Oryctolagus cuniculus: one gene and its partners. The protein of the gene in region 4 purifies or fractionates together with the protein of the main gene of each other region. This does not show direct contact. Links are inferred from orthologs where the notes say so. Each region holds a gene or a part of one and is shown on either strand. Other genes may lie near its edges.

Region 1 (7,388 bases), on a different chromosome or scaffold from region 4:
CCCTCCCCTGAAGGGCACAGCCCAGCAAGTTCTGCCGGCCTGTGCTGTGGCTGCTCCCAGACACAGCTGCCCAGGGCCCCGCTTTGCCAGGACAGAGGGCTCAGCCCCCATGCTGTTCCCAGCCCTGTCTGCTGGCCACAGCCCCTCGGGGCAGAGCAGGGCAAGGCTTTCCTCAGAGTCCAAGGATCCTGAAGCAGTCGGGATAGACTACAAGGATCTTGCGTCATGGAAGGACTCGAAGGGGTCCCGTTCCCCTCGTTGGCAGGGCAGAGGGAGATGGGACTGGGGCACGTTTGCCAGTGGGCTCCCTGGGTTGGCCAGATGGTCTCTAAATCTGCAAGAGCTCTGGAATTTGACAACAATGAGTCCCTTCAGATTCTAAAAAAAGTCTGACTTGACAGTCCTAAGCCAGGGAGTCCCACCCAGCCCTCTCCACCAGGAGGGAGTGGGTCCCAGATCAAGTGTGCACAGCGGTTATGCCCAGGCTAGGTCTCTATTTAACAGGTCCCCTTCAACTCGGGTAGCGTCACGCAGCCGTCCCAGGTGCTGGTGGGGAGCCCACCTACCTATCGTCATCGCTGTCCAGGTGCCCACTGATGGCCAACATGGAGCGGGCCAGGCTGAGGCTCTGGGCTGCTGCGGCTCCAAAGGGGTCTGGAGACTTGTGAACCAGACTGGCATCGGGGAAGAAGTAGAGGGCCGGGGAGCTGGGACGAGAGTCGTGTGGGGGCACCTGGAGGCAGAGAGGTGGGAGCCATCACATTGAGAGAGAGAAAGGAGCCAGCCGCCTCAGAACTGGCACCGTTTTCTTCTTCCCTTCCCACCTCCTGCCCTTCTCTTCCAAGGACCCAAAAGCCCTTCCCTCCTCCAGCCCTGGTAAAGACCTTGGGCAAGCACCAGAGGCAAGGAGAAGGCCATCACCCTGAGGACTGGGGTGAGGGGCTCCCAGACGATCAGAGAGGGGCTCTGGTCTGCATCTCAGGAGCCCTGTTCCCCCTGAGCCAGGCCCGCCACGCAGAGGCTACCCACAAAGCAGCTGCTCTCTGTCACCTGTCTGCCGAGAGCCACCCACATGTCGCCTCCTCGGAGCAGCATCTCCCCATCACTCACAGTGCATAGAACTGTTTCACTTTTTTTTATAGCACCTAACATTATCTGAAATTAAAGTATTTATTGTGTCGCCCCTGCGAGAAGACGAGTTTGCTCAGCGCTATTTGTAGAATGAATGGATCCTCAGAAAGCAGCCCTCCAACCCCCACTGGAGGTCTCCTCTGGGACTCCTTGGGCCCCACCAGGTGAAACTCCGCTTCTGCTCTCTGCCCTGCTTGGGCTGGGGTGGGGTGGGGGGTAGGGGTGTGCAGATGAGGGGGGAGGCGGAGCCTGGGCGTGGACCCACACAGCCCAACAGGCGCTGGGGGCGGCTGCAATAGGGCGGGGGTGAGAGGAACAAGACAAGACGCCTCTGTGAGGCCCCGGGAGGCCCCAGTTTCTTGGAAGAGCCAAGAACAGAGAGTTCAGGCTGCTTAGCGGGACAGAGCAGAGGAAGGGGGCCCAGGTGGTGCCCCCTTGCCCCCCCCCTCACCTCCAGCCTCTGTGGGAGGCAGCTGAGGCTGAAGGGTTGGGGGAGGCTGCAGATAGAAAAGAAATAGGGACTCAGGCGCCTGCACACAGGAAGTGATCAGGCCGTGGCGGAAGGAAGAGGGTAGAGGGCACTGTGGCACCAGGGGCAGGGTCCACGGACCCCAGGGAAGCACAGGCAGAGCTTACAGAAGGAGAGGGCAAAGGGGGCTTGCAATCGTTCCAAGAGGCTGGGGACAAGGATGGGGTGGGGTTGGGGGCGCAGCATCTTCTCTCTGGGGTCCAAACTGAGGGAAAGGCTCAAGCAAGGGGGGGGGGGTCATGAGAGCCATGAGCTTGAGGCCAGGAGGGGGTGGGGGAGCCAGTCCTGACCGGTCCTGACAGGACCCAGACATCCAGTCTCAGGTTATTTTTATACTGTGGTTTGTGCCCAAGGCCAGGAAGGGGGAAACATTCTCATCCTCACCCTCCAGGCCTTCCCCCTCACCCCGCAGTCCAAGGTGTTATTTTCTCCTGCAGAACAGAAGCATCCAACCCCACATTCCTGGCTGCCCACCCCCACCCCAGGGACCCAGGCATCCTGCCCCCAGCCCAGACTTGTTCCTCTTTTGGAGACAGGAAGCAGAACGCACAGGACTTAACTCCTCCTCTGCTGCTTCCCGCCTCTCTCCCACGCCACGGTGGCCACCCCTTGTTATCAACCCCAGAGGGGACAGAGGCAGGAACCAAGACAGACCCCCCCACCAGGGGTGAGGCGAGCCCCCCATCCCGTCCAGTGCCCCATCCACCCAGTTCCTCAGTGCCTCAGAGAAACATGGCTTGCAGCAAGGGTGGAGATGAGCCTGGGCTGGGCACTGGCAGAGAGAAGACCCCGCGCTTAGGATGGAGCTGCGTGGAGAGGTTGAGAGCAGAAATCCCACCTTTTGCCCCCTGAGCCTCCCCCCGCCCCAAACCCTGGCAACTCCTCGACCAGGGGCCGAGTCACCCAGCCCGGGGCCTCCACCCTCATTACCTGGAGCCAGAGGGAGTGAGACCCCAAGACAGAAGGTGGTGACCAAAGTGAGCAGACCATTGTAGCTAAAGGCTATATGGAGACAGGGCAAGAGCCAAAGGCAACAAATTAAAGGCCACAGAGAAAGAAGGTGTAGCTTGCAGGGAAGAGGAGCCCCAGGGAGAAAGCAAAGGACAGCAAAGTGCGACGGCAGAGAGAGAAAAGAGGTGCCACGGATGAGACAGATGACAGTGGCGGGGGAGGGGAGCATGGCGGTGAGGCTCCGACTGAGATGCCTGAGCAGGGCCCTCAGGAGTCTCCCCCAACCTGGAACCTGGCTCTTACCTGTCCAGCCTCCTCTGGAGCAACCAACTCCATCCTCAGTCGCAGGGCTCCATCTTTCCTTCGGGACGCTGGAGGGGTCCCTGCCGCCGGGCCCCCAGCCTCCACTTCCACCCTTAGGGAGGGCAGGGGCACGGGAGCCAGGGATGTGCCGGCGCTATCCCCAGTCCCAGGCTCTGGGAGGCGCTGCTGCGGTGGGGAGGCCGCCAGGAGGGGTGTCTCCACCTTGGCCTTGCCGGGCACCGACAGCTGGCCCAGCCCGCCGGTGAGGGAGCGGGCCTGAGGTCCAGGGGAGCTGGGGGGCGGACGCAGCCAGGAGGTGGGGCCCTGAGACAGGCCTGGCTGTGGGATAGGGGCGCCCAGGCCCAAGCTGGCCAGCTCCAACCTGGAATCCAGAGATCGACCCCCAGTGCCCCCCGAGGCTCCCCGGATCCCCTCCAGGAGCCGGCCGAAGCTGGGGGGCTCCAGGTCTCGCTCGTAAACATCCACACACGTCCAACGACCTCGGCGATAAGGCTCTCCCAAGCCGTGGGGCAGCTTCACCACCCGGAAGCGGGAGGCAGGGGCCCCAGGCGGTGGGGAGCCATTCCGGGGGGTGCTCTTGCCCCCTGGGTCGGGGTTGGGCTCCCCGTTGGGGAGGCGGGGCGGGGGCCCCGCAGGGGCCGGTGGGGCAGGGGGATCGGAGCCGCCGGGGCTCCCTGGGCCCTCGTAGTCCGTGGTGACGCTGGTGATCTGGAAACTACTCTTCTTTTTGCCTCCACTCATGGTCCCCGGAACTCAGGACTGGGCTGAGGTTGGGGGACTGGGGCTCTTTGAAGGGGCTCAGGCACCCCTAGAACAGGGGGGCCACATTGCGGGGGCATCAGGGCCCCTGGGAACATCTGGGTCCGACATGGCCAAAGGGCCTTGTGGGAACTGGGGGTGCCCGGCTGATGACAGAACAGGGTAGGGGAGGTGGCGGGAGGGGGGAGCAGGGGCAGGTTTTTCCTGCTGCCGCCGCCGAACTCCAGAGCTGAGTTTGCAAACTGGAAAGAGAGAGAGAGCGCGGGTGCGCGCGCGTGTGTGAGAAAGCAGTGGGCAGGCCACCTCCGGGGCTTCCTCTCTGGGGAGCAGAATTGGAGAGGAAGGGGAAATCGCCAGAGACCCAGAGACAAAGAGACAGGCAGGGGAGGCCAGAGAGCACGGCGTGGGGCACACAGACTTGGGCATTTCTGGCCTGGGATTCAAACTCAGGGGACCCAGTTTGTCCTGAGCGCACCGGCTCCAGGTCCTGGGTGAACCAGGGTGAGGCGGCACCTCCAGGCCGCTTGGCGGACTCTGCTGGGCCTCCTCCAGGCACCCCGCACCCCGGTTCCCACATCCCAGGGGCAGGCCCTGCCCGCGCCCCAAGCGCCGCGCCGCGCCACGCCCAGTCCGGGGGCCTTACCTCTCGGTCTCGGCCACCGAGCTGACCGTGGGGGTCCCGGCGCCCAAGGTGTTGGGCTGTCTTTTCCCGGGGGCCTCCTGGCCCCGGGGTGGCGCGGGGCACGCAGGCGGCGGTCAGGGGCAGCCCAGTCCTGTTCGGGGGCCGCACCTCCCCCTGCGAGGCATCTCCGTGGAAAGTTTTCGCTCCAGAAAAGGAGTCTGCGCCCCCTCGGCGGAGCCCAGGAGCCGCCTCCGAAGCCCGAGGTCTCCCGATAGCTGTGGGAGGGTGCGGCTCAGCCCCCCGCGGCTCCAGGCGGCAGCCGGCCTCGGTGGTCCCGGCGAGCGGGTCTCGCACACCTCCTCCCGCGTGGTCCCGCTGGACCTGTCTCCGCTCCTCGGCTGCTCTCAGTCTCGTCTGTCTTTCTCTTTCGGGGCTGTTGACAACCCCCACACCAGGAAGTCCTGCCTCCTCGGGCCTGCTGACTGCTCCTCTCCTCCTCCTCCTCCTCCTCCTTCCCCTCTTCCTCCCCCCTCCTCCCTCCTGGGGCTCCCCGCCAGCTGGCCCCGGGCCAGGCCCGCCACAGCCGCCGCTCTTGCAGTTGCTTCTGCTCCTGGGGCCCCAGACGGGCTCCCTTAACCCCACACCTGCTGGGCCCCGGCCCGGCGCTTCCTCGGAGGGCGGGGCTTCGAGGGCGGGGAGAAAGGGGCGGAGTTCGCCGAGAGACCAGGGATTCCCTTACTTGCAGGCAGCTGGCTGCCATTGGCCTGCGGACGCGCGCCCAGGAGCGGACCAGGCCCGTGCGGGGTGCCCGGCTGCCCAGAAGTGCCTGACTTAAACGTGCCGGCGCGGCTGTGACTGTCATTGTCACAGCTTCTTTGAAAGAGGAAGGGACTATTATTTCCCCCACTCCTTATCTGAAAAAGTGGATTATTATGAAAAACTTCCAACAAAACTGAATAGTGACCACCCAGGTACTTAGCAAGTGGGTTCAGCGATTAGCAACTCCTAGCCCGCCTTCTCCCATCCCTACCCCCAATGTCCTGTATCAGAAATCCTGGACATCATATTACTGAACTACTTGGATGTGAAAATTGAGACCAGAGAGTTTGGAAAAGGCTGTCATTCGTACAGCAGAGACATTCCACACACTCAGCTCTTTTCTATTTATTTATTTGAGAGGCAGAGTTGCAGAGATTGAGAGGGAGAGGCAGAGAGAGAGGTCTTCTATCCGCTGGTTCACTCCCCAAATGGCCACAACCAAAGCCAGGAGCCAGGAGCTTCTTCTGGGTCTCCTACACGGGTGCACGGACCCAAGGACTTGGGCCATCTTCTACTGCTTTCCCAGGCCATAGCAGAGAGCTGGACTGGAAGAGGAGCAGCCGGGACTAGAACCGGTGGCCATATGGGATGCGGACGGCACAGGCAGAGCATTAATCTGCTGCGCCCCAGTGCTGACCCCACACTCAGCTCTTTGTGTGGAACGAGAAACACATTAGGACTTGCAGACAGGAGGCTGACTTTCACTTTCTCTCCAGACACTGGACACGCAGGAATATCCACTTACCCACACAGGTGCACCTGAGGACCAACCCCAGCAGCCACAAGCAGGGCCCCTTTCCCTAGCTCTCCCGCTGCATCCAGTGCTTACTAAGAAGGACAATTCACACAAACTAATGAAAAGCCTGCTATGCACTTGGCATGAAAGAACACACTGGGGCAGTGGTGAAGCCACTGCTTGCTTTGCAGGTATCCCATAAGAGCACCAGTTCAAGTCTCGGCTCCTCTGCTTCTGATCCAGCTCCCTGCTAATGCACCTGCTAAAGCAGTGGAAGATGGCTCAATTGCTTGGGCCCTTCTCACCTGGGTGGAAGACCCAGATGCAGTTCCTGACTTTGGCCTGGCTCAGCTCCAACTATTTTGGGTATTTGGGGAGTGAATCAGTAGATGGAAGCTTGCTTGCTCTCTTTCTCTTTCTGTCTCTCCCTCTCCCTAATTCTGCCTTTCAAATAAATAAATAAATATTTTATTTATTTATTTATTGACAGGCAGAGTTAGATAGTGAGAGAGAGAGACAGGGAGAAAGGTCTTCCTTTACCGTTGGTTCACCCTCCAAAGGCCGCTGCAGCCGGCACGCTGCGGCCGGTGCACCTCGCTGATCCGAAGCCAGAAGCCAGGTGCTTCTCCTGGTCTCCCATGGGGTGCAGGGCCCAAGCACTTGGACCATCCTCCACTGCACTCCCAGGCCACAGCAGAGAGCTGGACTGGAAGAGGGGCAGCTGGGACAGAATCCGGTGCCCCGACCGGGACTAGAACCTGGTGTGCCGATGCCCCAGGCAGAGGATTAGCCTATTGAGCCACAGCACCGGCCTAAATAAATAAATATTTTAAAAGAACAGACCTCCAACTGCCATTTTCTCTTTCTTTGGTACACTTCGCCAACATTCTGAGAGAGACTGTTGCCATGGAAATAAAAAAAAAAAAGAAAAAATGGGGTGGGGGGAGCCGGTCCTGTGGTGTAGTAGGTTAAACTTCGGCCTGCAGCACCCTCATCCCATATGGGCACTGTTTCAAGTCCCTGCTCATGGCCTGGAAATGGAAGATGGCCCAAGTGCTTGGGCTCCTGCACCCACGAGAGAGACCCCGAAGAAACTCCTGGCTCCTGGGTTCAGATCAGCCCAGCTGCAGTTGTTACAGCCATTTGGGGAGTGAACCAGTGGATGGAAGACCTTTATGTCTCTCCCTCCCTCTGTAATTCTGCCTCTCAAATAAATAAATAAATAAATAAATTTTTTTTGACAGGCAGAGTGGACAGTGATAGAGAGAGACAGAGAGAAAGGTCTTCCTTTGCCGTTGGTTCACCCTCCAATGGCTGCCGCGGCCGGCGCGCTGCGGCCGGCGCACCGCGCTGATCCGATGGCAGGAGCCAGGAGCCAGGTGCTTTTCCTGGTCTCCCATGGGGTGCAGGGCCCAAGCACCTGGGCCATCCTCCACTGCACTCCCTGGCCACAGCAGAGGGCTGGCCTGGAAGAGGGGCAACCGGGACAGAATCCGGCGCCCCGACCAGGACTAGAA
Region 2 (7,500 bases), on a different chromosome or scaffold from region 4:
TAGTCCACTACACCACAGCGCTGGCCCCAATAACTCTGCCTTTCAAATAAATAAATTTTTTTAAATGTAGGGTTAAATACTAGATGATAAACTATACAAAAAAGCAAATGAATGACTAACTTAAGGATAGAATAGTGGTCTACTTTAGGGAGAGCAGAGATAAGATTCAGAAAGGAGGCAAAATTTCTCAATCCTGATGACTGATAATACAAAATTTACTTTAACTGCTAAATGTACATATATGCTCCTATATTTTTCAATACAATGATCATACATTTCACCAATTTTTTTTTTTGGACAGGCAGAGTGGACAGTGAGAGAGAGAGACAGAAAGAAAGGTCTCCCTTTGCCATTGGTTCACCCTCCAATGGCTGCCACGGCTGGCGCATGGCGCTGATCCGAAGCCAGGAGCCAGGTGCTTCTCCTGGTCTCCCATGCAAGTAACAGGGCCCAAGCACTTGGGCCATCCTCCACTGCACTCCCAGGCCACAGCAGAGAGCTGGCCTGGAAGAGGGGCAACCGGGACAGAATCTGGTGCCCCGACCGGGACTAGAACCCAGTGTGCCGGTGCCGCAAGACGGAGGATTAGCCTAGTGAGCCGTGGCATCAGCCACATTTCACCATTTCTTAAAAGGCATACACTCATCAGTTGTCAAAAAAGAACCATCTGGGGCCAGCACCGAGGCTCACTTGGTTAATCCTCTGCCTGCGGCGCCAGCATCCCACATGGGCGCTGGTTCTAGTCCCGGTTGCTCCTCTTCCAGTCCAGTCTCTGCTGTGGTCCGGGAAGGCAGTGGAGGATGGCCCAAGTGCTTGGGCGCCTGCACCCACGTGGGAGACCAGGAAAAGCTCCTGGCTTGGATTGGCGTAGCTCCGGCCGTAGCGGCCATTTGGGGGGTGAACCAACAGAAGGAAGAACTTTCTCTCTGTAGTCCCTCTCTCTAACTCTGTCAAATTAAAAAAAAAAAAAAAAAGAAAGAAAGAAAACCATCTGTTGGGGCGGCGCCATGGCTCATTTGGTTAATCCCTGCCTGTGGCGCCGGCATCACATATGGGCGCCGGTTCTAGTCCCAGTTGCTCCTCTTCCAGTCCAGCTCTCTGCTGTGGCCTGGGAAGGCAGTGGAGGATGGCCCAAGTGTTTGGGCCCCTGCACCCACATGGGAGACCAGGAAGAAGCACCTAGTGCCGGCCGTGGCGGCCATTTGGGGAGTGAACCAACAGAAAGAAGACCTTTCTGTCTGTCTCTGTCTATAACTGTACCTGTCAAATTAAAAAAAAAAAAAAAATCTGCATCCAACACACAACCTGGAGTTCAGCTTCAACTGGTTTAACAGAAAACATCAGCTGTCCAAAAATGCAATTCATTAAATAATTTTATGTCATTCCCTTTTTTCTGTTAAAAACAGAAATCCAAAAATAGAAAATTGTGAGGGATATTCCATAGCTTCATATATATGTTAAATAATACCATATTAAACAGAAAACAAAAGTAAAATAGCAAAGATTTTTCAGGCAAGGAAGTAATTATGTTAGAGATGTATTTATAATGTTGGACTAAGAGGAAGGAATACAACTGTGCTGGAAAAATGAATACCTATTTACAATGTAATCTTTGTGAGTTACCAATTTCCACAAACAAATGATTAGAAGTTTAGAAGTAGTTTTCTACTGCATACTACTACATAAAATGTTAAAGTTTGATAACTTTTCCCCACATAGAAAGAAGTCAGTAACTTTATAATTTCTAGGGAATCTTGAAAAGCAAAAATTTAGAGGCAAAGTTTTTAGGCCCAAATAGGTCAGATAAGTATAAAGTTTAAGTTTTCTTTTAAAAAAATTTTTTACACTCTATTCCTTAGAAGCCTGGAGTAATGAAATGAAAAAAGATGCAAGGAACTCAGATTCTTGAAATATCATCCTAAAACACAGTCAGTAAGCCCACAGAAATTATCCCTGAAACAATTAGTGTTTAACCACATGAAGTTGTTAATTTTCAGAAAACTTTCCATTTTTACCATAGACATTAACTTTGCAGAAACGGTCACTACAGAATAAACCACAGAAGTACTGATAGCTCACACAACCTGCCCCTGCCATGGGAAACTAAGGAAATGGTTTCCTGTTTAGTACCTTTTCCTGTCCCATCCCATATTTTACTTCTATGAATTCCAAATGTTAACAGTAACGTCTACCACTTATTAAGCCCTTTCTGTGTGACTTATATTTATTATCTCCTTTAATCCTAACATACTGAGTGGCAGGCCTTACTGATGAGGACAGTCAGGCATAGAACTTGTCAGTAACCTGCCCAAGGTCACACACTACTATGGAGAGAGGGAGCCGAGAAATGTTGACTCAAGAGCCACTGCCCTTAATACTCAGCTGTTTATATTTGATAAAACAACATATTTGCACCATGAAAACATGAAATCACCTGCTGCTTTCAAACTACAGGATGCCAGATGCCTTGAGGATTTGTTTTGCCTTTCCCAGCTAACTGCATACTCACGGAACGTTAATAGGTTAAGGGGTCTAAACAAACATTTAGGAAAACTTGGAACTTCACAGCCAAGAAAACAAAGGGGCAGAGAAGCTAAGTGACAGCCAACACTAACACACAACTCGACTCCCAGAAGAGATCTTCGCTCTGCACTAAAAGCCCTTCCTACACACATCTCACACAGTAAGCTCTTGCTGAAACCATACCCAGCCGTCCACCCAAACACTGAGGCCCACTTTGCAGACATGAACTTCAATAGCATTCACATGAGAACAATCTTGCACTTCAACAGAGATATGCTATGTGCTAAGGCAATGGTTAAACCCAGATGAACATCATAATGCTTTCGTTACAGAAATACAAACACACTAACTATAATGCGACAATTATGAACAATGTGTCTTGAAAGCACATAGAGAGGAGAGCGCATAAGGAACAAGATGCATTTGTGGCAGAGTAAAGTCAAAGGTAATGCTGCTTACAAAGCAAGGAAAATGCTGCCACTTCTACCAATTGATGTTAAAGTAAAAATATATATATAAATGAAGTCAGAAGATCTGAGTTCAAGTCAAAACTTGACTTGTATGAATAACTTGTTAATCTCAGTGTCCTCAGATGTGAAAGGTGGCTACTACTACTGACCTGTCCACCTCACCAGATTTTTGGAAAAGTCAATTACCTGAAAGTACTTAACAAACGGCAAACTTCCTATAAAAAAAAAACCAAGTTACTTATTTATGTTTTCACTTCTAGGCAACACTGTTGGTCCTTCCCCTAAACTGTGTCTCATAAAAGCCTTACCCTTCAAGATGAAAATATTCCAATGACATCACTCAAATGCTCCTTAGCAGACAGTAAACGGTTCACATGAATGCCTTCAGGTTAAAATGCCAAATCTTTCTATAGAAATAATATGTATACATACAATGCTTTATCCTTAGGCTTTGGTATTGACATCTAGTCAAAGCTTACTATAATTATATTTAGAAACTAGCACCAGATGCAAGTTTTCTCTTCTGGAAATTTTCTAAGAGATTCCATTCCATTTTATGCGATGTTGTCAAGCAACCACTCAAGGACAGACCAAGTAGCTATCACCTGGCTCTGATCCCAGGAGATGGGCTATATACTAGCTATAGCTACAGCCTAATGTATGCCCTGGACCCTAAAAAGAGAAATGCAAACAGGAACCAAACAAAAATCCACTAAAAAAGGTAACGAGTGTCCCACTGTAAGATCATTGGAGGCCCATGGCCAGACCCCTCCTGTAAATTACGGAACTCTCATTTCCTTGGAGTTTGACAGAGAAGCAGGAATAACCCGGTCCCCTCGATAAACTCCATCCAAGCCCCATTCTGTTGAATCCTTAAGCCCCCGGTCTAAGCGACTCCTTGGATGGTCGGCTAAAGAAAGTTCCAGCGCCTGGCCGCGAAGTCAAAAAGGAGGCAGGAAAGGGTCGCCGCAGCGTGAAGCCCCCGTGCCCCTGGGCCAGCGGCTGCTCTATCTCCCAGGCCACTTCCCGTCGTCTCCCTCTTACCTTGTACACTTTCCCGAAGGCTCCGTCGCCCAGCTCGCCTATGATTTCCCAAAACTCCTCGGGGTTCAGGTCCCTCTTCACGTGCTCGTACTGCTTCTTCTTCTTCTCGCTCCCCAACTTGAAGATCTTACGGAAATTGAAGAAGGACATTTTTCCTCCCCCACAGAGTTCCTTGCACTTAAGGACTAGAAACAACAATAAAAGGCAAAGTTTCTCCGCCTCCTTCTCCGCGCGAGCCCGGCGGACGGGCGGCGGCGCGGGGTCTCCGGCTCCCGCGGCTCCGGCCGGGCCGTCCCCGGAGAGGGCGGGGCAGCGCCCGGGGCTCCGGCCCGCGGCGAGGGGGGGCGCCCTGCGCCGAGCCCGGCTCGCCCGCCCGCCCGCCGCGCGATGGGGCGCCTGGCCCCCGGCCGGCCCGCGGGGGCTGCACCTGTGCGGACGCCCGTCCACCCGGTCCCGGCCCGGCCCGACGGCGCCCGGCGGGTCTGCACGCCCGCAGCCGCGGCGGCTTAGGCCCGTGTCACGACGAGTCTCCAGGGGCGGCGGCCACTCGGGGCGAGGGAAGCGGCCGGCAGCCGCTGAGACGAGCGCGCGAGAGGCCAAGCTCCCCGGCCGCGGGCAGCGAGCCTCGGGCCTCCTTCGCAGCCGTCTCTATTCCTGCGGCGCGAGGCCCGCGCGTCCCCTCAGCTCTGGGGCGCCGCCACCTCCGCCTCGCTCCCTCCCCAGCCCACACAGCCGCGGCCTGGAGCGCGCGCCGACGCCGACGCCGACTCCGCAGCGTGCCCGCGCGTTCCCCCGCCGCGCGCCCGCGCAGGGGCGGCCCCTTGAGCCCCGCGCACGCGCGTTGGCCCGCGCAGGCTGGCGGCGCCGAAGTGTTGGTGAGCCGAGTGCGGCGGGCCCTGGTTCCCTGCGGTCCCCCGAGGCGGGCCCGGCGCTGGCCCTGCGAACCCCGAATCCTCGTCAGCCTCTGGCTTTGTTCGTAGTGGCCCCCGCGTTGCGACGCTGGCGGATGTTGCCTCGGTGCTGGATGTGGGAAAAACTGTCAAGAATGAAAGCTCAGGCTTCCTGAGTGGAGCCGGGAAGTGGGCTTTGTTTTTAGCTCTTAAATTGATTCCAGAGGATAGTGAGAGGAGAGTGTGGGTGGCGCTGTGAGCCTTGGCTTGGGAGCCGGAGCCCTGTGGCCTGGAGCAGGTGACGCCCCCTTGCCTCAGTTTCCTCACGGCGCCTGCCTGGAGGTGGCAGCGAGGGCTCAGTGAGGCACCGGCACAAGCTCGTGGTCTCACAGCTGACACGGACCTAGAACAGTTGCTCGAGCCCACTGCTCCAGGGATGTCTGGGGGGGCTCTCCGCCGCCCGCCGGATGGCACGTCCAGCCTGGGACGGTGCTGCCCGGCTGGGGCCGTACCGGCATCGTCTGCAATCGGCCAGAAGGTGACCTGCCCTCCTCGCCTCCGGTCGCACTTTCGGGGCAGTGGCTGCTTGTTCAGCAAGGTGACCGAGTCGCGGGAGACGTCCTGGCGTGGGAGAGGCAGACGGGTCTGGCTGATGCGTGAGTGGAGGTATCCAGCAAGGCAGGGTTGCTGCTGTTTATATAATACCCACCTACCACCCCTCCCCGACCATTTTACCCTCCAGCCCCTACATGTTACAGCAAAACCCCTCTTCCAGGAGGAAGCTTAATATGATTCGGTTTCTCATGATCCTTCTACTTTTTAAGTTTTTATTAAGGTATAATTGATATACAATAGGCTGTACATTTGTGCACACACGTGAAAGCAATATTAATCTGCTTTAATTGGTATCATTTATGAAGAAAATAGAGAAATGCAAAAAAGAAATCAAATACAAGAGTAGTGGAATTCCACCGTCCAGAGGTAGCCATTGGAAAGAGTTCATTAAATTTCCAAACAGGTTTTTTTGGCCATGCTTTTTTTTTTTACATGAATGAGATTACTTTTCAGATTCCAGTACAATTAGTAATTATTCTCTCTTGCATCATGAGATATTTATAATCTTTATTTTAAATAAAACATTAATAAATATCTTTGCATACAAAATCCTTTTATACATGCTTGATTATTTCCTTGAGATAAATCACCAGAAAGAGATTTGGGCCAAAGGGTGTATGTCTGTTTCCTTTTTTGTTCTTTTCAAAATAGAAAAGACTACTATGTTCTCATGTTGAAAGATTGTGTATCAGGACTGGTGCTGTGGCACAACAGGTTAAGCCATCATTTGCAGCACCAGCACCCCATATGGGCACTGCTTTGAGACCCAATTATTCCATTTCTGATCAAGCTTCTTGCTAATGTGCCCAGGAAAGCAGCGGAAAATGACTCAAGTCCTTGGGTCCCAGCACCCACAAGGGAAACCCAGATGACATTCCTGGTTCCTGACTTCAGCCTGGCCCAGCCCTGGTCATTGGGCCATTTGGGGAGTGAACCAGCAGATGGGAGATCTTTCTCCTCGACTTTCAAATAAATGGATAAATCTTAAAAAAAAAAAAAAAAAAAGATTGTGTATCATTGTTGTTAATAATTCAGATACAGGAATTACAAACTCAGAAACTGTAATTTTCCTCTCCTGCCTTGCCCCCACTCAAATTCACCCCCAACCTAACCATTGTTAATAGTCAGGCCTGTACAATGGACATGTTTATGACATTGATGATTTCATGAATGAATACCATTTCCAAACGCATCAAACTGTATGCAAGAAATATAGACAGCTGTCTGTATATCAACCCTGCTTAGAGTTGTCATTAAGTCACTAGCAGTAGCCAGCATTATAGGGCAGTGGTTAAGCTACCACCTGGGATATCAGGACCAGTCTCCTGTATGAGTGCCAGCTCAAATCCAAGTTCCTCCACTTCTGATCTAGCTCCCTGCTACTGTGCCCAGAGAAAGCAGTGGAAGATGATGCAAGTACCTGGACCCCTGCCACCTACCTGGGAGAACAGGATGGAGTTCCTGGCTGCTGGCTCCCAGCTGCAGCCTGGCTCAGCCATAGCTATTGAAGCTGATGTGAGTGAATCAGTGGATGGAAGATCTCTCTCTCTCTCTCTTTCTCTGTAACTCTGCCTTTCAAAATAAATAAATCTTATTTTTAAAAAGTCACTAGCAAGGCACAGTTAAATTGATACCATTAATAAATAGTCTCAGCTTTTTTCATATATTATGGAAACAAATGAATCTCAGAAAAGGTTCCCCTTTTAATAAAATAATAAATTTGGCATCATTCTTAGGCATTTAAAATTAACAGAAAAGTGATCTCTGTTAAACAAAGGAGTGGGAATAAGAGAGGGAGGAGATATATAGGTCGGCACATGCTCACTCAGACTTACCTCCAATGGTGGAACTAGAAATGTGCCAGGGGATTTCAACTCAATCTTACCAAGGAGGCAGGTACCAATGCCAGCGCACTTGGTAAAGTGATAAGTATAAATACACAACCGATCAAAAAGATA
Region 3 (7,652 bases), on a different chromosome or scaffold from region 4:
GCACTTGGGCCATCTTCCACTGCCTTCCCAGGCCATAGCAGAGAGCTGGACGGGAAGTGGAGCAGCGGGGACTCGAACCGGCGCCCATATGGGATGCCAGCACTGCCAAGTGGAGGCTTAGCCCACTACACCACAGGGCCAGCCCCTTTTCTCATACTCGATTGTCAGACAGGGTGATCCCACCAACACCGAGACGCCTCTTGGTACTCTCAGTACCGCGAGCGTCACCGGCCACCGCCTTTCAAAGGCTACCGTCCAACATAGCAGAACACTCCCAAGGTTCTCTTGCGAGGCCACTCTCAGAGCGGCACGTCAGCCTGAGGAAGCTCACACAGCACAGAGAATGCTGGCAAAACCCTGGACACAACGCAACTGTCCACTAACAGGGGACTGGGTAAACACACGGCCCCAGGCACAGAAAGGAATCCACAAAGGAATGAGGTGGACTGAGTCCTGCCCTGGGAAGAACTGCCCAGCAAAAAACATCAAGCCATAGAATGTGGAACAGGGCCTCTTATTATAAACAAAGCGAGGGGCCGGCGCTGTGGTGTAGCAGGTAAAGCCACCGCCTACAGTGCCAGCATCCCACGTGGGCGCTGGTTCGAGTCCCGGCTCGACTTCCACTTCTGATCCAGCTCCCTGCTGTGGCCTGGGAAGAGCAGTAGAAGATGGCCCAAGTCCTTGGGTCCCTGCACCCATGTGGGAGACCCAGAAGAAGCTCCTGGCTCCTGGCTTCAGATCGGCGCAGCTCCGACTGTTGCGGCCATCTTGGGAGTGAACCAGCAGATGGAAGACCTCTCTCTCTCTCTCTCTGCCTTCCAAATAAAATAAATAAATCATAAATAAATAAACAAAGCGATATTAGTATAGACACAGAGAGGTGTGTATGGAAACGGTGACACCCCAAAGCTGAGTGATTTCTTCCGGGGAGTGCACTACTCCTGCAATTAGGCACAGGTGGTGGCAGCTGCCTGGACATGGGAGGACATGGGATGACATGGGGGACACAGGGGTTACTGCCAAGGGTGGTAGCACCAGCATGAGACCGTAAATACCCTGAAAACTACTGAGGTGCACCCTTGCAGTGGGTGGGTTTTGCGTAGATGAGGTTTGTCTCAACAAAGCTGCTACTTAAAACAACAACAACAAGCCAGAGGGAAAGGTGAGCCCCGCCTCAGGGAGGGGCAGAGGAGGGCAGGGACTGGCCCACTCCCTCCCAGCACTCTCAGCTAACAAGGCCGGCAAGGATCGAGGCGCCCCAAGCTTTCTAGAGACAGAAGGGGGATCCCCACCCCACCCCAGCCAGAGCCAAGCTTCCTGCCGGGGCCACAGCACCCCGCATCCCTCACCTATTACATCCTGGTTTCTGTGGCTCAGGCCACGTGCAGCTAACCCAGTAACGCTCAGAACCCACCTGGGGGCCCAGGCACTTCCACTTTCTCCTCCCAGCCACCTGCCCGAGTCCTACCACTACCCACCCTCCAGACCCCCTCAACAGCCCTCATCCATCACCAAGACGGAAGGAACACAGGGACCAAGGCTTCAGGAAACACGGGAGGATTCAAGGCTGCACTCTGGGGGCTGGCGCCGTGGCGTAGCCGGTAAAGCCGCCATCTGCACGCCGACATCCAGGTTTGAGACCGGGCTTCTCGGCTTCCGATTCAGCTCCCCACTAATGTGCCTGCGTCCCTGCACCAATGTGGGTGAAGCTTCCAACTCCTGGCTTCAGCCTGGCCCAGCTCCGGCCGTTGCAGCCATTTGGAGAGTGAACCAGCACATGGAGGATCTCTCTCTCTCTCTCTCTCTCTCTCTCTCTCTCTCTTCCTCTTTATATGTAACTCAAACAAATAAACAAATCTTAAAAAAAAAAAAAAAAAAAAAAAGGCTGCGCCCTGGCCCCAGACCACCCCCAGAGAAACAGGGCCCAAACCACAGCTACAGCGGTCTCCTCCGGACCCCAAACATGGGTGGATCTCCTTGCCCACTTGGAGCCCCCACCAGAAGGTTAAGGACAGCCCCGGTACCCACAGCACCTGTCTGTGAGGCAGTCCCTGGCCAGCTGCTGGGCTGAGCTTCCTACCCGCCTTATCTCATCAAATCCTCCCCCACAGTGCCTAGCAGAGAGCCACTGTTATTATTCCCATTTTACAGATAAGAAAACCTGGGTTAAGATAGGGCCCAAGGTCACCTTGCCAGCAGGCTGTGTCTGGACCTGGTGTGGGGAGGGGGGGTTCAATAGGGAAATTCGGGATCCCCAGGCCCGCAGAGCCATCCAGGGCACCCATGCTTTGGTTCGCAGCTAGGGAAACCGCACCCCTGCCTGTCTCGCCAGTCTGAGGATATGCAGGCCTCTGGGCCGCCAGGGCCATGGCGCCTTCCTCCACGAAGGCCCCCGCAGGTACCTAGTAGGTAATCAGCTCGCCACCAGCTCCGTGGGGCTGCTGGTGCGGGAACAAGCCCCTGCTTGCCAGGGGCTCCGAAACCCGGGGATGAAAGGTGCCGTGGCAGCAAAACAGCACCATGGGCAGGAGCGCGCCTGACCTCTGCCAGGACTTGCAGGCTGGCATCCACCTGCTCACCTGCTCGCGGCGGGCACAAATGCGGGCCAAGCCGCAGAACCCAAACAGGCCTGGGAGCTCCGGCACCGTGGGAAGGGAGGTTCCCAAGGCTGGCGTCTCCCAGGTGGAGAACCAGGCTCCAGGTATGGAGGGCTCTGGTCTTCTGATTGTCTCCTCTGAAGGCGCCCAGTGCTCCCTGGGCGGGGCGAGAGGGTGCACGGGTGGCTGGGGGTGGCAGAGGCACGCCCGCCCCATTCCCCTCCGACCCAGATCTCCAAAGTTCACTTCCTGGAGACAGGGAGGGCGCTCCCACCTCTTCGTGGCAGGAGCCCCTCAGGTGAGCCTGCACCTGGAATGTGTGGCATCCCAAGAGGGTTATTAATAGCCCCGAAGTGCTTCCAGCAGAGCCAGCAGGTTCCGGGGCACCCCCTCCCACTCAGCCCCGTCCACAGGGCCAGTCCGCTCTCCCAGTTCACACTCCACCTTGTGCGGGCTCAGTGCCCGCCCCTGAGAGACGGCCACGGGGACAGGGCTGGCAGTTCTCAGCCCAGAAGGCGGGCTGGGGAGGAAAAACCCCACAGAAGGCCGCCACACCCCACCCGGGCCGCCACACCCCACCCGGGCCGTCACACCCCACCCGGGCCGGGTGAGGGGCCCCAGACAGCAGGCTGTGAATGGAGGGACTGTTATGGAGCCCCAGGAGTTTGCCACCAACAGGGAGGGGACAGGAAGACTCCGCCCCGGCCCTTCCTCCTCCCAGAGACCAGGCCTTGTCCTCCAAGGAGGCTTTCCAGGACTTAACCCCCAACTGGTGAGAGGCTACCCAGGGGCGGACCCGTTTCTGCCAGATCCCCAGCCCTGGGCCCAGCCCCAGGCCGGGAGCAAAGAGGAACCAAAGGCCCAGGACTGCGGTCACACCAGCACCTTCTCTGAGCCCAGCAGGCCTGGGACCCAGGGACAGGGGGTGAAGGAACACCTGGTCCCTGCTCTCAAGGGTCCCTAATCTCAAGAGAGCGTGGAGAACATGCCCCAGGGACACGGAATCAGTGAGGGCAGACACGCAGGCCAGGGCCCACTGGACAGGGAGAGGCAAGTGCTACCAACAGGAACTGCCTCCGGTCTCCACGGGCCGTGCCCAAACCCCCACTGCCCAGCACCCCATGGATCAGTTCTCCTTCTGCGCCAGGCCCCGTGCTGAGCAAGCGCCAGGAATGAGCTCACTGAAGTCGTCCCCCGACCCACTCATAGGGAAGACATCGCTGATCCCATTTCAGGGAACAGAAAACCAAGGCGCCGGCACGTTAAGAGACTTGTCCGAGATCACACATCTGGGAAACAAATGCCAGGGCTCCACGGGCAGCCGGGAGGGGTCAGCCAGAGCTGCTTCCAGGCAGTCTGAGATCCCACCTCGCCTCCCCAAGGCACTGGGGCAGTGAGGGGGGTGGGACAGGGAAGGAGTCCAGGAGCCTTGCCCAGGAGCCTTGGCGACAGCTGCCCCTCTGAGAAACCTGGGCTGGGCAGGACTGTCTGAAGGAGCACCCTCCTGTGTCTGGGCCAGGGCAGGGGCCCCACCCTCTCCAGTGCACCCCGACTTTCCTAACAGGCCCAGCCCCTGGAAGCCTCAGCCACGTGTACTGGGCCAGGGCAAGTTAGGGACCGAGACAGCTGGGGGGATGGTCAGGACGCGCTGGCTGTGCAGGACTCCAAAGAGGACAGAGGGTGGGCTTGGAATGAGCCTGGGCCGGACATCCGGAGTTGGGGGGGGGGCAGGCGACGACCCCTGCCACAGCTGGACCTGGGGTAGTGGGTTGGGGGGATGTCCTCCGGGGCCGGGTTCTGAGGGCAAGGGGGAACGAGTTCCCTCAAGAGGGGGAAGGAGAGGCTCCGACGCGGGCGGGAAGTGGCGCTCAGATTCGGAGAGAACAAGGTCGGACGCGGGACCCGGTCCCCACCAGCTCCCGTGCCGCCCCAGGCCTCGGTCGAGACCCCCGCCCCGGCGGCGAGCTCGGCGGGCCGCGGTGGGGGCGTGGCCCGGGGCTCGCGGCCGAACCCCGCGTCGCTCACCTGCGATGTGCTGGCGCCGGGCGTCGTCCAGGTGCGTGGACAGCACGTCCCCCATGGCGAGGAAGAGCCGCGGCCCGCTCTGGCCGTTCGCCGCTGCGCGCTCTCAGGCGGACACCGCTGGCGCCATGGAGCCCGGCCACCCCGCTCCCGCCGCTCCCGCCGCCCCGGCTGCGGCCTCCGCTCCGGCTCGGGCCCAGACCCAGCGCCCCGCCCCGCCCCGCCCCACCAGGCCCCGCCCCCGGCCCGGGCACCGCCCCCTCCTGGCCGCGCGCGGGCGGGGCGCAGGGCCCGGGACGCGGGGACCGCCCGGGAGTCGCAGACAAAGGGAAGGTCCCAGAGAGGGAGTCGGGAGAGACGGGCGCAGAGCCCCGCGTCCGGCCCGAGCCCAGCACGAGATGGAGCTGGTGGGGGTATCCGAGAGACCCGGGGGTGCCCCGGGGAGAGCTAGCCTGGGTGTCACCCCTCCCTGCACCAGACGAGAGACTCCCTGCTTCGGAGGACGTGGGGGACAGGCCGTCGCGCAGGAATCCGCGCCCGGCTCCTCCCGCTCTCTCCGCGCCCTGCGCCCTGCCCCCGCCTACCCGCTGCCGCCCGCGCTCAGGAAATCCTTGGCCTTGATCCTACCTGCCCAGGTGTGCCGGCCTGTCTTGCACAATAGTTACGGGGGTGGGGGGTGGGAAGGAAGGACGGGGCGGCGGCGGGGGGGGGGGGTGTGGGGGAGAATGAGGAGGGCTCGGGTCCAAAGGTGCAGGACCCCAGTTGCCAAGCAGACCCGGCGAATGGGCAGTTCAGGGAGTCAGAGCAGATAGTAGTGGCACTTTACAGTTTAGGAGACACCATCTGGAGCAGGCGTGGACTTTGGGTCCTGGCCTGTAGGGCTGGGCACGGCCGGGTCACAGGAGCAGAGGAGAAGTGTTTTCCAGGCTGGCATGGGAGTCAGGTTAACAGCCGACATGCCAGACCCCTGGACGTGAGTTGGGGTGGCAGAAGCTTTGCAGGGGTGCTGAGGCCCACATCTCCTCTCCTGCACCCCAACAGCAGCCCCTTGGTTACTCGGGGTGAGTGGGACCTCACCACTTCTCTGCGCACCCCACCCCGCTCTGGGACGGTTCTTGGCTCTCACCGTGACCTGAGGCAGAAAGTGGTGATCCTGGCACTGGCCAGCACAGACCACCTATGCTTCAGGCCTGCCAGCACCAGGGGAGGGAGCTCTGGCACCAGTTAGCGATGCAGGCACTCACTCCCTTACCACTCACATGATTGACACCTGTCTAGGAGCCACAAGACACCAGGGGTGGACAGGCCAGGAAGTCCACGCTGCCTGCCCTCGAGGGCCCTGGACAAGTGGCCGTGCCTCTTTGAACTCAGTGTCCTCCTCGGTCAGACGAGGGCAGCAGGCATTGCTGGGAGGATTAGATGAGATCGCAGGCACAGGGTGGTCCTCTCGATAAATGAACCTGTCCCTCCACTCTGCGTCGCGGTCCCTGCCCCAGGAGTATAGGGGACCCTCTTGAGGCGGGAGTAGAGGCAAAGCTTCTGACAGCAGATCCTGGAGAGCAGCATTCCTGGGTGTGGGCACAGCGGGCACAGGGCTGGCTTTGAAGAGCAGGAAGCTTTCACAGGGCACCCAGAATGGGCAGAGGCGGGGGGAAAGAGAGAGAGAGAGAGAGAGGTCTTCCATCTGCTGGTTCACTCCCCAGAGGGTACAACGGCCAGAGCTGTACTGATCCAGAGCCAGGAGTTTCTTCTGGGTCTCCCACGCAGGTGCAGGGGCCCAAGCACTTGGGCCATCTTCTACTGCTTTCCCAGGCCACAGCAGAGAGCTGGATCAGAAGTGGAGCAGCTGGGACTCAAACTGCACCCATATGGGATGCCGGCACTGCAGGCAGCAGCTTTACCCGCTACGCCACAGCGCCAGCCCCGGCCATGTCTATGTTACACTTGACTAAATTGCTGCAAGGATTTTTAGAATGATATTCTAGGACAGGTTGGTATAGCAGTGAATCCATCAGTTGGAATGTGCACATCCCATATCGGAGAGCCTGGGTTCAAGTCCTGGTTCTGCTTCTAGCTCTACCTTCTTGCTAATGCTCACCCTGAAAGGTGGCAAGTGATGGCTCAAGGGCTTGGGTCCCTGTCACCCACAAGAGAGAGACCTGAATGGAGTCCCAGGCTCTTGGCTCTGGCCTGATTCAGCCTGGCTGTTGCAGGCATTTGGGGCGTGAACCAGTGGTTGGAAGATTTCACTGTCCGTCTGCCTATCTGTCTCTTTCCCCTCCCCATCTCTTTGCCTTCCAAATAAATAAAAATTTACATAATATACATTGCATTGGCTGCACACAGGAACCCATACTGAGGCTCTAGGATAGGGCGTGTCAGGCGAGGGAGATGAGTCGGTGCGGCCCCAGGCCACAGCGCTGGGGCTGACTTCCTGGTGGGTTGGTAAATTGCGTGTCCAGGACTGACATTTATGACTTTTTTTCTGGGAAGACTGTAAAGTTATTTAAAAGTTCTCAGCTCTCTACTACGTGCTAATAAATCAGGCCAGCTATGGTCTTTGGGTGGGAGGGGAGTGAAGGGTTTTTTGCTTGTCTTATTTTTAGCAAAGAAAACCAAGCACAGCCATCAGCGCCACGAAGGGTTCCAGGCAGACAGGGGAGGGTTTCTGGGCCGAGGACGTGGGGAGCGCTCGCCCTGCTCGAGGCCACTGTGATGCGTGCTTTTCACATATTTATGGGTCCTTTGTGGTTTTCTTTTAATTCACACCCTCTGCCTGCTTGGTTATTGGAATGTGTTGTTTTTTTTTTCTTATTAATTTGTAAGAATTCTTTCTACAGCAAGAATAGGCCAGCTGGGCAAGGCAAAGGATTTGGAGGGAGTCTCTGCTGCTTCTCTGGGGTCCCCACCCACCAGGCTCTCAGGCCCCCTTGCAGGCCCACAGCAGGGTTGGGGAGGAGGGGAGGCGGGGCCCTATCGGTTCACCAGGCTCACCTGCCGGGCCTGCCCCTCCTGAACAGGGATGCCACCTAC
Region 4 (7,530 bases):
GGCGGGTGTTAAGACAACACGTGGGACCCCCGCGTGACATAGCTGCCCACGGCCTGGGTTTGAATACTGTGCTGCCTCTGATGGCAGCTTCCCGGGAACCCACACCCTGGGGGGCAGCAGGTGAGGGCCCCGATACTTGGGTCCCTGCCAGCCACCCATGTGGGAGCCTTGGATGGAGCCCCTGGTTCCTGGCTTCCGCCTGGCCCAGCTCTGGCTGTTGCAGCCATCCGGGGAGTGAACCAGTGGATGGAAGACCTCTCTCTCTCCACTCCAGAGCCTGCAAAGCCAGCATCTCCTATCAGAGCGCTGGCTCAAGTCCTGGTTGTTCCAGCCCCCTGCTAATGTGCCTGGGGAAGCAGCAGAGGACGGCCCAAGTGCTTGGCCACCTGCCACTCATGTGGGAGACCCGGATGGAGTTCCAGGCTCCTCGTTTTGGCCTGGCCCAGTCACGGCTGTTGTGGGCACTGGGAGAATGAACCAACAGGTGGAAGATCTCTCTTTCTCTCTGTCTCTCCATCTGTCACTCTGCCTTTCCAATAAATAAAAATAAATCTAAACATACAATTAAAAAGCACCCAGTTCCCCTTTTGAATGGACATCAGTGTTGGGGTTCCCAGAGAAACTTCCAGAACTGTTCTGTGGCTGAATCTGCCGAGATGTAAATGCACCTGCTGTCTTCTTCACCCGCGCCCTCCGCTTTGCTCACTCCTCTTCAGCGTCTCTCGGGGGACTGTCCCCCAGCCACACGTCTGCACTGTGTTCCCGCCCTGGTCGGCTTGGTTTGCCAAGACAGATGTCATACCTGGGTGGCTTGACCACAGAGATGTATTCCTCTCGGATCTGGGAGCCGGATGGGCCCGGATCAGGGTGCCGGCATGGCTGTGTTCCGGTCAGGGCCCTCTGCTTGGCTGGCTGGCGTCTGCCTTCCTACTGCGCCCTCACGAGGCGGAGCGAGCTCTCTGGTGTCTGTCGCGATGCCACTTTGTGTATTTTAAAATGTTTATCTGTTTGTTTGAGAGGCAGAGAGAGGATGGGAGAGAGAGAGGATGGGAGAGAGAGGGAGAGAGAGAGAGAGGGAGAGAGAGGGAGAGAGACCGTCCATGCTCTGGTTCACTCCCCAAGTGCCCACAACGGCTGGGACCCGGCCATGCCGAAGCTGGAAGCCGGGAGGAACTCAGTTCCTGTCTCCCAAGGTCCACACTGGCAGGAAGCTGGGGTCAAAGATGGAGCCACGGGGCCGGCGTTGTGGGGTAGGGGGCAGAGCCAACGCTGGCATCCCCTGTGGCACCGGTTCAAGTCCCAGCTGCTCCACTTCCACTCCAGCTCCCTGCTGATGGCCTGGGAGGCAGCAGATGACAGCCCAGGTACTTGGGCCCCTGCCACCCACATGGGAGACCTGGATGAAGCTCCTGGCTTTGACCTGGCTCGACCCTGGCCGTTGGCGCCATCTGGGGAATGAACCAGCAGATGAAAGATCTCTACTTCTGTCTCTCTGTTACTCTGGCTTTCAAATAAATAAATCAATCTTTTCAATCTTTTTTTTTTTTTTTTTTTTTTTGACAGGCAGAGTGGACAGTGAGAGAGAGAGAGAGAGACAGAGAGAAAGGTCTTCCTTTGCCGTTGGTTCACCCTCCAATGGCTGCTGCGGCCGGCGCTGTGCTGATCTGAAGCCAGGAGCCAGGTGCTTCTCCTGGTCTCCCATGGGGTACAGGGCCCAAGCACTTGGGCCATCCTCCACTGCACTCCCGGGCCACAGCAGAGAGCTGGCCTGGAAGAGGAGCAACCGGGACAGAATCCGGCGCCCCGACCGGGACTAGAACCCCGTGTGCCGGCGCCGCAAGGCGGAGGATTAGCCTAGTGAGCCGCGGCACCAGCCGTCAAATAAATAAATAAATCTTAAGAAGAAGAGGAGGAGGACGAGGAAGAGGAGGGGGAGCCACGTGCAGCAGTGTGGACACGGGCATCTTAATGTGGGTCACTCTCCAGACGCAACATCCACGCTGGGCCAGGCTGAAGCCAGGAGTCAGGAACTCCATCCTTGTCTCTCCCGTGGGTGGCAGGGGCTCCAGTCCTTGGGCCACGCCTGCAGCCTTCCCACACTGGTCGCAGGAAGGTGGGTTGGAAGCGCAGGCACTCTGATATGGGTTGCCGATGTGCCAGATGGCGCTTACTTCCACGTGCCCCAACACCAGCCCCTGCCACTTCGTACCAAGCCCACGGAGCATCACGCAGGTTGCTACAATTCTTTGCCACAACAGACCTCATATTGCAGTAAGACTGTGCACATAACACTTTTTTGCACGCTTGTGAATGTCTCTTGGGTACATCTCTACAGGCAGCACGGCTGGCCCACGGGGCCTGCAGGTTTGGTTTGGAGAGATGTCAGAGGCTGTGGGTTACAGTCACGGCTGGAGCGCCCCCCTCGGGAGCTTCCCGGAACTGCAGCTTCACACAGCCCAGTGTGGGGAGCGCTCCACCCCAGCCCGGTTCAACCCCAGACCCAGAGCCCGAACATCAAAAGCCCCCAGATTTCACGTCGGAGACTCCAGCAACCCTGTTCTTAGACAAACATCTCCTCGGCCTGTCCACTTTTCAAACTTGAAATGCGTCTGTTGAAAAGTTAACTTCATGTCATCAAGAGCAACCGTGCCGAGAAAAATTAGCAATAGCGCTTTTGTCCTCGCCATCACGGAACGTGGAAGAAACTAAGGTTCTGTGGGCGCAGAGTTAGCAGCAGGCGGGTCGGGGGTTCGAATCCCCGCAGGTGGGTTCCATGCATAACTGAAAAATAAAGACAACAGGAACCCAGCTAGGCAGGTGGCTCCAGCGGGCATGCACTGTGTGGATAAGAAGAACAGGTGTCGCGCACAGCAGCCCCAGGGACGAAACCTGCCCAGATGGAAGGGACGGTGCGAGAGGGGTGCGAGACCTGCCCGCCCCGCCGGCCTTGCACCCTTGCGGGACGCCGGGTCCCTCGCGAAGGCACCTGCGGGGAAAGAGGCGGGGAATCGCAGCTCCTTCCCCGCCGCGCCCTCCGCGCCTTCTCCCCGCCTCCTTCCCGGGAGTCCGGAGGCCACCCCCCACCCGACGTCTGCGACCCCGCTGGCCACGCCGCCCCGGAGCCGAGGCCCCCCCATAGGCGGCGGGGGCGCCCTCGGGTCCCCAGTAGCAAAGTTAGGGCCGAAGCCACCCCGCGCAGAGCCGCGGCTCCCCACCCACCACCCCGCCTCGGGCTTCCCGGAAGCGTGGCGCGCGGGTGGCACCATCGTGCCCCGTGCCTCCCCACCCCGTGGGACGGAGGTGAGTGAACCCCGGCAGGGGTGGCGGCGAATCCCGGGGCGCGGAACGGGGCCTCGAACTCGGGGCTCCGACGCCCCACGCGGCCGAACGGAGCCGCGATCCCCCGCCCCGCCGTGGCTGGCGCTGTGGTCGCTGCTGCGCCGGGGCTGCGCAACCCGGCGACCGCGGGCGGGGGTTGGGGGCGCGGCCTGGGGCCTGTCCACGCCGCCCGGGGCCAGGAGCCGCGGCGCACCGAGCGTGGGGTGGGGGGGTGGCGGACTTTTATTCTGACATGGCCGGCGCCGCGCTCTGCTTAGTCATGGTGACCTACGCGCGCTCCGCGCCTCCCCCCGGCGCGCAGCGATGGAGGCGCCCGGGCTCCGGCGGCGGAGGCGGAGCCGCAGCGCGACCATGGCGGGGTGAGTGAGGCGGCCTGTGCCCAGGCTGCGGGCGCCGCGGGCCTCGGGCGCCCCGGCGACCATGGCCGGGGGCCGCGGGAATGGGAGCGCGGGGCCCTGGGGCCGCCTCCGAGTTCCCGGAGGCCCCGGGAGGGCGCGGCCGGGGTCCGATCGTTTTGTTGGACGGCGCCACTGCCGGGGCGGCCGGAGAGGCACGGAAGCCGGGAGTGAGACGCAGGGGGGGAGCGCACGCAGACGAAAGCCCGGGGATCCCGGGGCGTTGGCGACGGCTGGGTGCGCGCTGCGGCCTTGGCTGCCAAGAGGCCGCGGCGGGGTCACTTCCTCGCTTCTCCAAGGCCTTGGTGGCGGCTCAGGCGGGGCATGCGCAGTCCCCCACTTGTCGCTTCGCGGCGGGGGGGAAGTGCTTGGTGCCCAGGGGCACCGTTGACCGATTGGCCAAAGATCCAGAGGCCAGCCCGGGGCCTCGCATGGGGAGAGGGGGCCGAGCGGCGCGCCGGGCAGGGTGGAGGAGGGCGGCTCTGGCAGGCACCGTGGCGTGGGCAGCCGGCCAGCCACTGGCTCCTGCGCAGTGCCAGGCCGCGGGCGGGACGCGGGGACACACAGGAGAGGGTGGCCCCAGCGCTGGCCTGCAGGGGGCTCCCTGCCCCCTTGAAGCTCCGCGGTGGAGTTTGGGGGGGGGGCGAGAACGAGGCGACGTTGGGCTGAGCCCCAGAGCTTGGGAGCGCCTTGCAGGTGCCGCGGATTTCAAAACGTGACTCAAGCCCTGGCCCTCAGCCTCTGTGAGTCTCTCAGCTCCTGACCGGACCTTGCTGCTCCCTGCGCCCCAGCGCCAACCTCACCTTCCCAGAGGGGTGTGGGCCAGGACACCACAGTGCCTGGGACACAGCAGGCGCTCAATAGATGTTGCAGGGCTGAGCGAAAGAATGAACTTGACATGACTGGGGAAGGGAGGAGGTAGCTGGATGGCTGGATGGAGTGAGCTGGAGAGAAGTGGGTGGACAAGAGCTGACTATCCTGCCAGCTGTTGAGGGGTCCTGTGTGGTTTTGGGGGTGGGGGCAGGATCTGGGTGGACCCCTGGGTGGGCACGGCCAGGAGAAGGTGGGGAGCTCCACCGGACCCCACCTCACCAGGTTTGCTTTGGGAATGGCTCTGTCTTACGAAAGAGGGCCTGGCAGGTGCTGGCCTGACCCCTGCCCTGCCCCCAGCCCTGTGCTCTCCCTCCTCCAGGCCCCTGAGTGTCCGTGGCGGCGTGATCCCTTGTCACTTGGAACCTCATGCAGCCGGAAGCCGAGCCTAGCGGGGCGGAGGCCTGCAGCCGATTCCTGCCCCAGCAGTCACAGCGCCCCGAGGGGGCGGGGGACGCCATGATGTTCGCCTCCACCGAGTGCAAGGCCGAGGTGACGCCCTCCCAGCATGGCAACCGCACCTTCAGCTACACGCTGGAGGACCACACCAAGCAGGCCTTCGGGATCATGAATGAGCTGCGGCTCAGCCAGCAGCTGTGTGACGTCACGCTGCAGGTCAAGTACGAGGACACGCCGGCCGCCCAGTTCATGGCCCACAAGGTGGTGCTGGCCTCGTCCAGCCCGGTCTTCAAGGCCATGTTCACCAACGGGCTGCGGGAGCAGGGCATGGAGGTGGTGTCCATCGAGGGCATCCACCCCCAGGTCATGGAGCGGCTCATTGAGTTCGCCTACACGGCGTCCATCTCCATGGGCGAGAAGTGCGTGCTGCACGTCATGAACGGTGCCGTCATGTACCAGATCGACAGCGTCGTCCGCGCCTGCAGCGACTTCCTGGTGCAGCAGCTGGACCCCAGCAACGCCATCGGCATCGCCAACTTCGCCGAGCAGATCGGCTGCGCCGAGCTGCACCAGCGCGCCCGCGAGTACATCTACATGCACTTCGGGGAGGTGAGCCGGGAGGCGGGAGGGCTTGGCACGGAGGGGCGCGCCCCAGGGCGTGATCCCCGTGAGACGCCAAGGGGGAGCCGGGGAGGATCGAGGGCCCTGGCCACACATCTGACCACCAGGACAGTGACCCTGGTTTCCCTGGGGTCAAAGGTAGGGGCAGAAGGCAGTGACCGTGACCACGGCCAAGCGCTGGTCAGCAGTTCCTTCCAGGACAGCGAAGACAGGCTGCTGGCTGCCCTGACCCTGGTCCTTGTTCTCTTTAGTGCCCACAACCTTGTTATCGTGCAGGGTTTGGTTTCGTTTTTGTTTCTCCGTGGAGGAAGTTGTCAAAGAGAAAATAACTCAAGGGTTTTGTTATTATTATTTTTTTTTCCAAAAGGCACTGTCCTAAGCCCTAGTTCTGAGGTTGCATCTCTTGGATGCCAGGCGCAGCCGGAATGTCCATGATCTGACTTTCCAGATTCAAAACACTCCAGAATCCGAAACTTTTCCGAGCAGTGACGCGATGCCACCAGTGGGAAGTTCCGCTAAAAACCATGCATGAAGTCACCTTCAGGGCCTGTGTGTACCCAGGAGTCTCCCAGAACGTCACAGGGATACGTGTTAGGGAAAAACCGGGCATGGATTTCAAAATATTTTTTTTTTATTTGACAGGTAGAGTTAGTGAGAGAGAGAGACAGAGAGAAAGGTCTTCCTTCCGTTGGTTCACCCCCAAATGGTCACTATGCGCCAGGAGCGCTGCGCCGATCCGAAGCCAGGAGCCAAGTGCAGGGCCCAAGCACTTGGGCCATCCTCCATTGCCCTCCCAGGCCACAGCAGAGAGCTGGACTGGAAGAGGGGCAACCAGGACTACAACCCGGCACCCATATGGGATGCTGGCGCCGCAGGCAGAGGATTAACCAAGTGAGCCACGGCACCGGCCCCGATTTCAAAATATTTTTGCACCAAAATAAGCTTATCTTTTAAACCCAGCCCCCCCCCCAAACTTTTGGAAGAACACCTGTATAAGCGAATTTGGTGTTCACACGCGGGTCCCATCCCTAAGTTTCCTTGCTGTGTACACGCAGATATCCCAAAACCCACAAAAGAATCCAAATCTCAAACACTTAAAAATTTTACATTATTTACTTGAAATGGAGAGTTACAGAGAGAAGAGAGAGAGAGAGAGGAGAGTGATCTTTTGTCCACTGCTTCACTCCCCAAATGGCCCCAACGGCCAGGGCTGGACCAGGCCAAAGCCAGGAACCAGGAGCTCCATCCGGGTCTCCCACGTGGGTACAGGGGCCCAACACTTGGCCCATCCCCTGCTGCTTTCCCAGGCGCATTTGCAGGGAGCCAGATGGGACCTGCTTGTCTGGGACGCCTGCGTTAACCTGCTGGGTCCCAGTGCTGTGCCCTCCCGGCCAGCACTTCTCTTCCTAAGCACTTGGGGTGAGGTGCTCAGCGCATGGTCTGCGTGACTGCCCCGCTGTGGCTCACTGACTCAGCCCAGCCGTCCTGGGAGGAAGTGTGGCGCGTGGCTGCGCAAGCAGGGCTGTGTCCCTGGCCCCAGGTCTGAGGGAGTCCCCGGCCTTGGAGAATGCATCCCAGACATTCTCTACGTCTTCTTCTGGCGCCTGGGACTGGTTGGGGGGCCTCTACCCTGGTCTTGTTTTCTCTCCTGCACTCCGTTACACGCGGGGTTGGCCAGATAACCCCAAGGAGAATTAGCTCTGGGGTTCTTGGCGTCCACAGGGTGGGCCAGTAAGCAGGTGCCTCCCATTCAACTGTACTGTGTTTCTTCCTTGGGACTGCGTGAGCCTGGGTTACCAGAAACAAAAGTGTTCATAAAAACAGGTGCCCTGATTTGTCTGGGCCCTGACTTGGCTACTCATGCAATCCCCATTTCACAGAGGAGAACAAATAAGGCCTGAGGGCG

The links.
Region 1: the proteins of KEAP1 (region 4) and TSC22D4 purify together in Homo sapiens (affinity purification with mass spectrometry; 4 studies listed by BioGRID and IntAct, counting the BioPlex papers as one, with this or other methods). This does not show direct contact. The link is inferred for Oryctolagus cuniculus from reciprocal best matches to the Homo sapiens genes KEAP1 and TSC22D4.
Region 2: the proteins of KEAP1 (region 4) and SLK purify together in Homo sapiens (affinity purification with western blotting; 3 studies listed by BioGRID and IntAct, with this or other methods). This does not show direct contact. The link is inferred for Oryctolagus cuniculus from reciprocal best matches to the Homo sapiens genes KEAP1 and SLK.
Region 3: the proteins of KEAP1 (region 4) and NIBAN2 purify together in Homo sapiens (affinity purification with mass spectrometry; 3 studies listed by BioGRID and IntAct, with this or other methods). This does not show direct contact. The link is inferred for Oryctolagus cuniculus from reciprocal best matches to the Homo sapiens genes KEAP1 and NIBAN2.

The regions. Positions count from the first base shown.
Region 1 is NC_091450.1:42,684,134-42,691,521, forward strand, and holds the start of TSC22D4 (TSC22 domain family protein 4), read right to left. Parts: upstream 4,814-7,388; 5' UTR 4,338-4,813; intron 3,937-4,337; 5' UTR 3,677-3,936; coding exon 2,915-3,676; intron 734-2,914; coding exon 567-733; intron 1-566.
Region 2 is NC_091446.1:26,085,712-26,093,211, forward strand, and holds the start of SLK (STE20-like serine/threonine-protein kinase), read right to left. Parts: upstream 4,814-7,500; 5' UTR 4,188-4,813; coding exon 4,038-4,187; intron 1-4,037. UniProt on the Homo sapiens protein: Mediates apoptosis and actin stress fiber dissolution.
Region 3 is NC_091432.1:231,053,883-231,061,534, forward strand, and holds the start of NIBAN2 (protein Niban 2), read right to left. Parts: upstream 4,814-7,652; 5' UTR 4,678-4,813; coding exon 4,623-4,677; intron 1-4,622. UniProt on the Homo sapiens protein: May play a role in apoptosis suppression. May promote melanoma cell invasion in vitro.
Region 4 is NC_091447.1:66,949,087-66,956,616, forward strand, and holds the start of KEAP1 (kelch-like ECH-associated protein 1), read left to right. Parts: upstream 1-3,059; 5' UTR 3,060-3,300; intron 3,301-3,478; exon of another isoform or gene 3,479-3,698; intron 3,699-3,951; exon of another isoform or gene 3,952-4,477; intron 4,478-4,904; exon of another isoform or gene 4,905-4,926; 5' UTR 4,927-4,973; coding exon 4,974-5,612; intron 5,613-7,530. UniProt on the Homo sapiens protein: Substrate-specific adapter of a BCR (BTB-CUL3-RBX1) E3 ubiquitin ligase complex that regulates the response to oxidative stress by targeting NFE2L2/NRF2 for ubiquitination.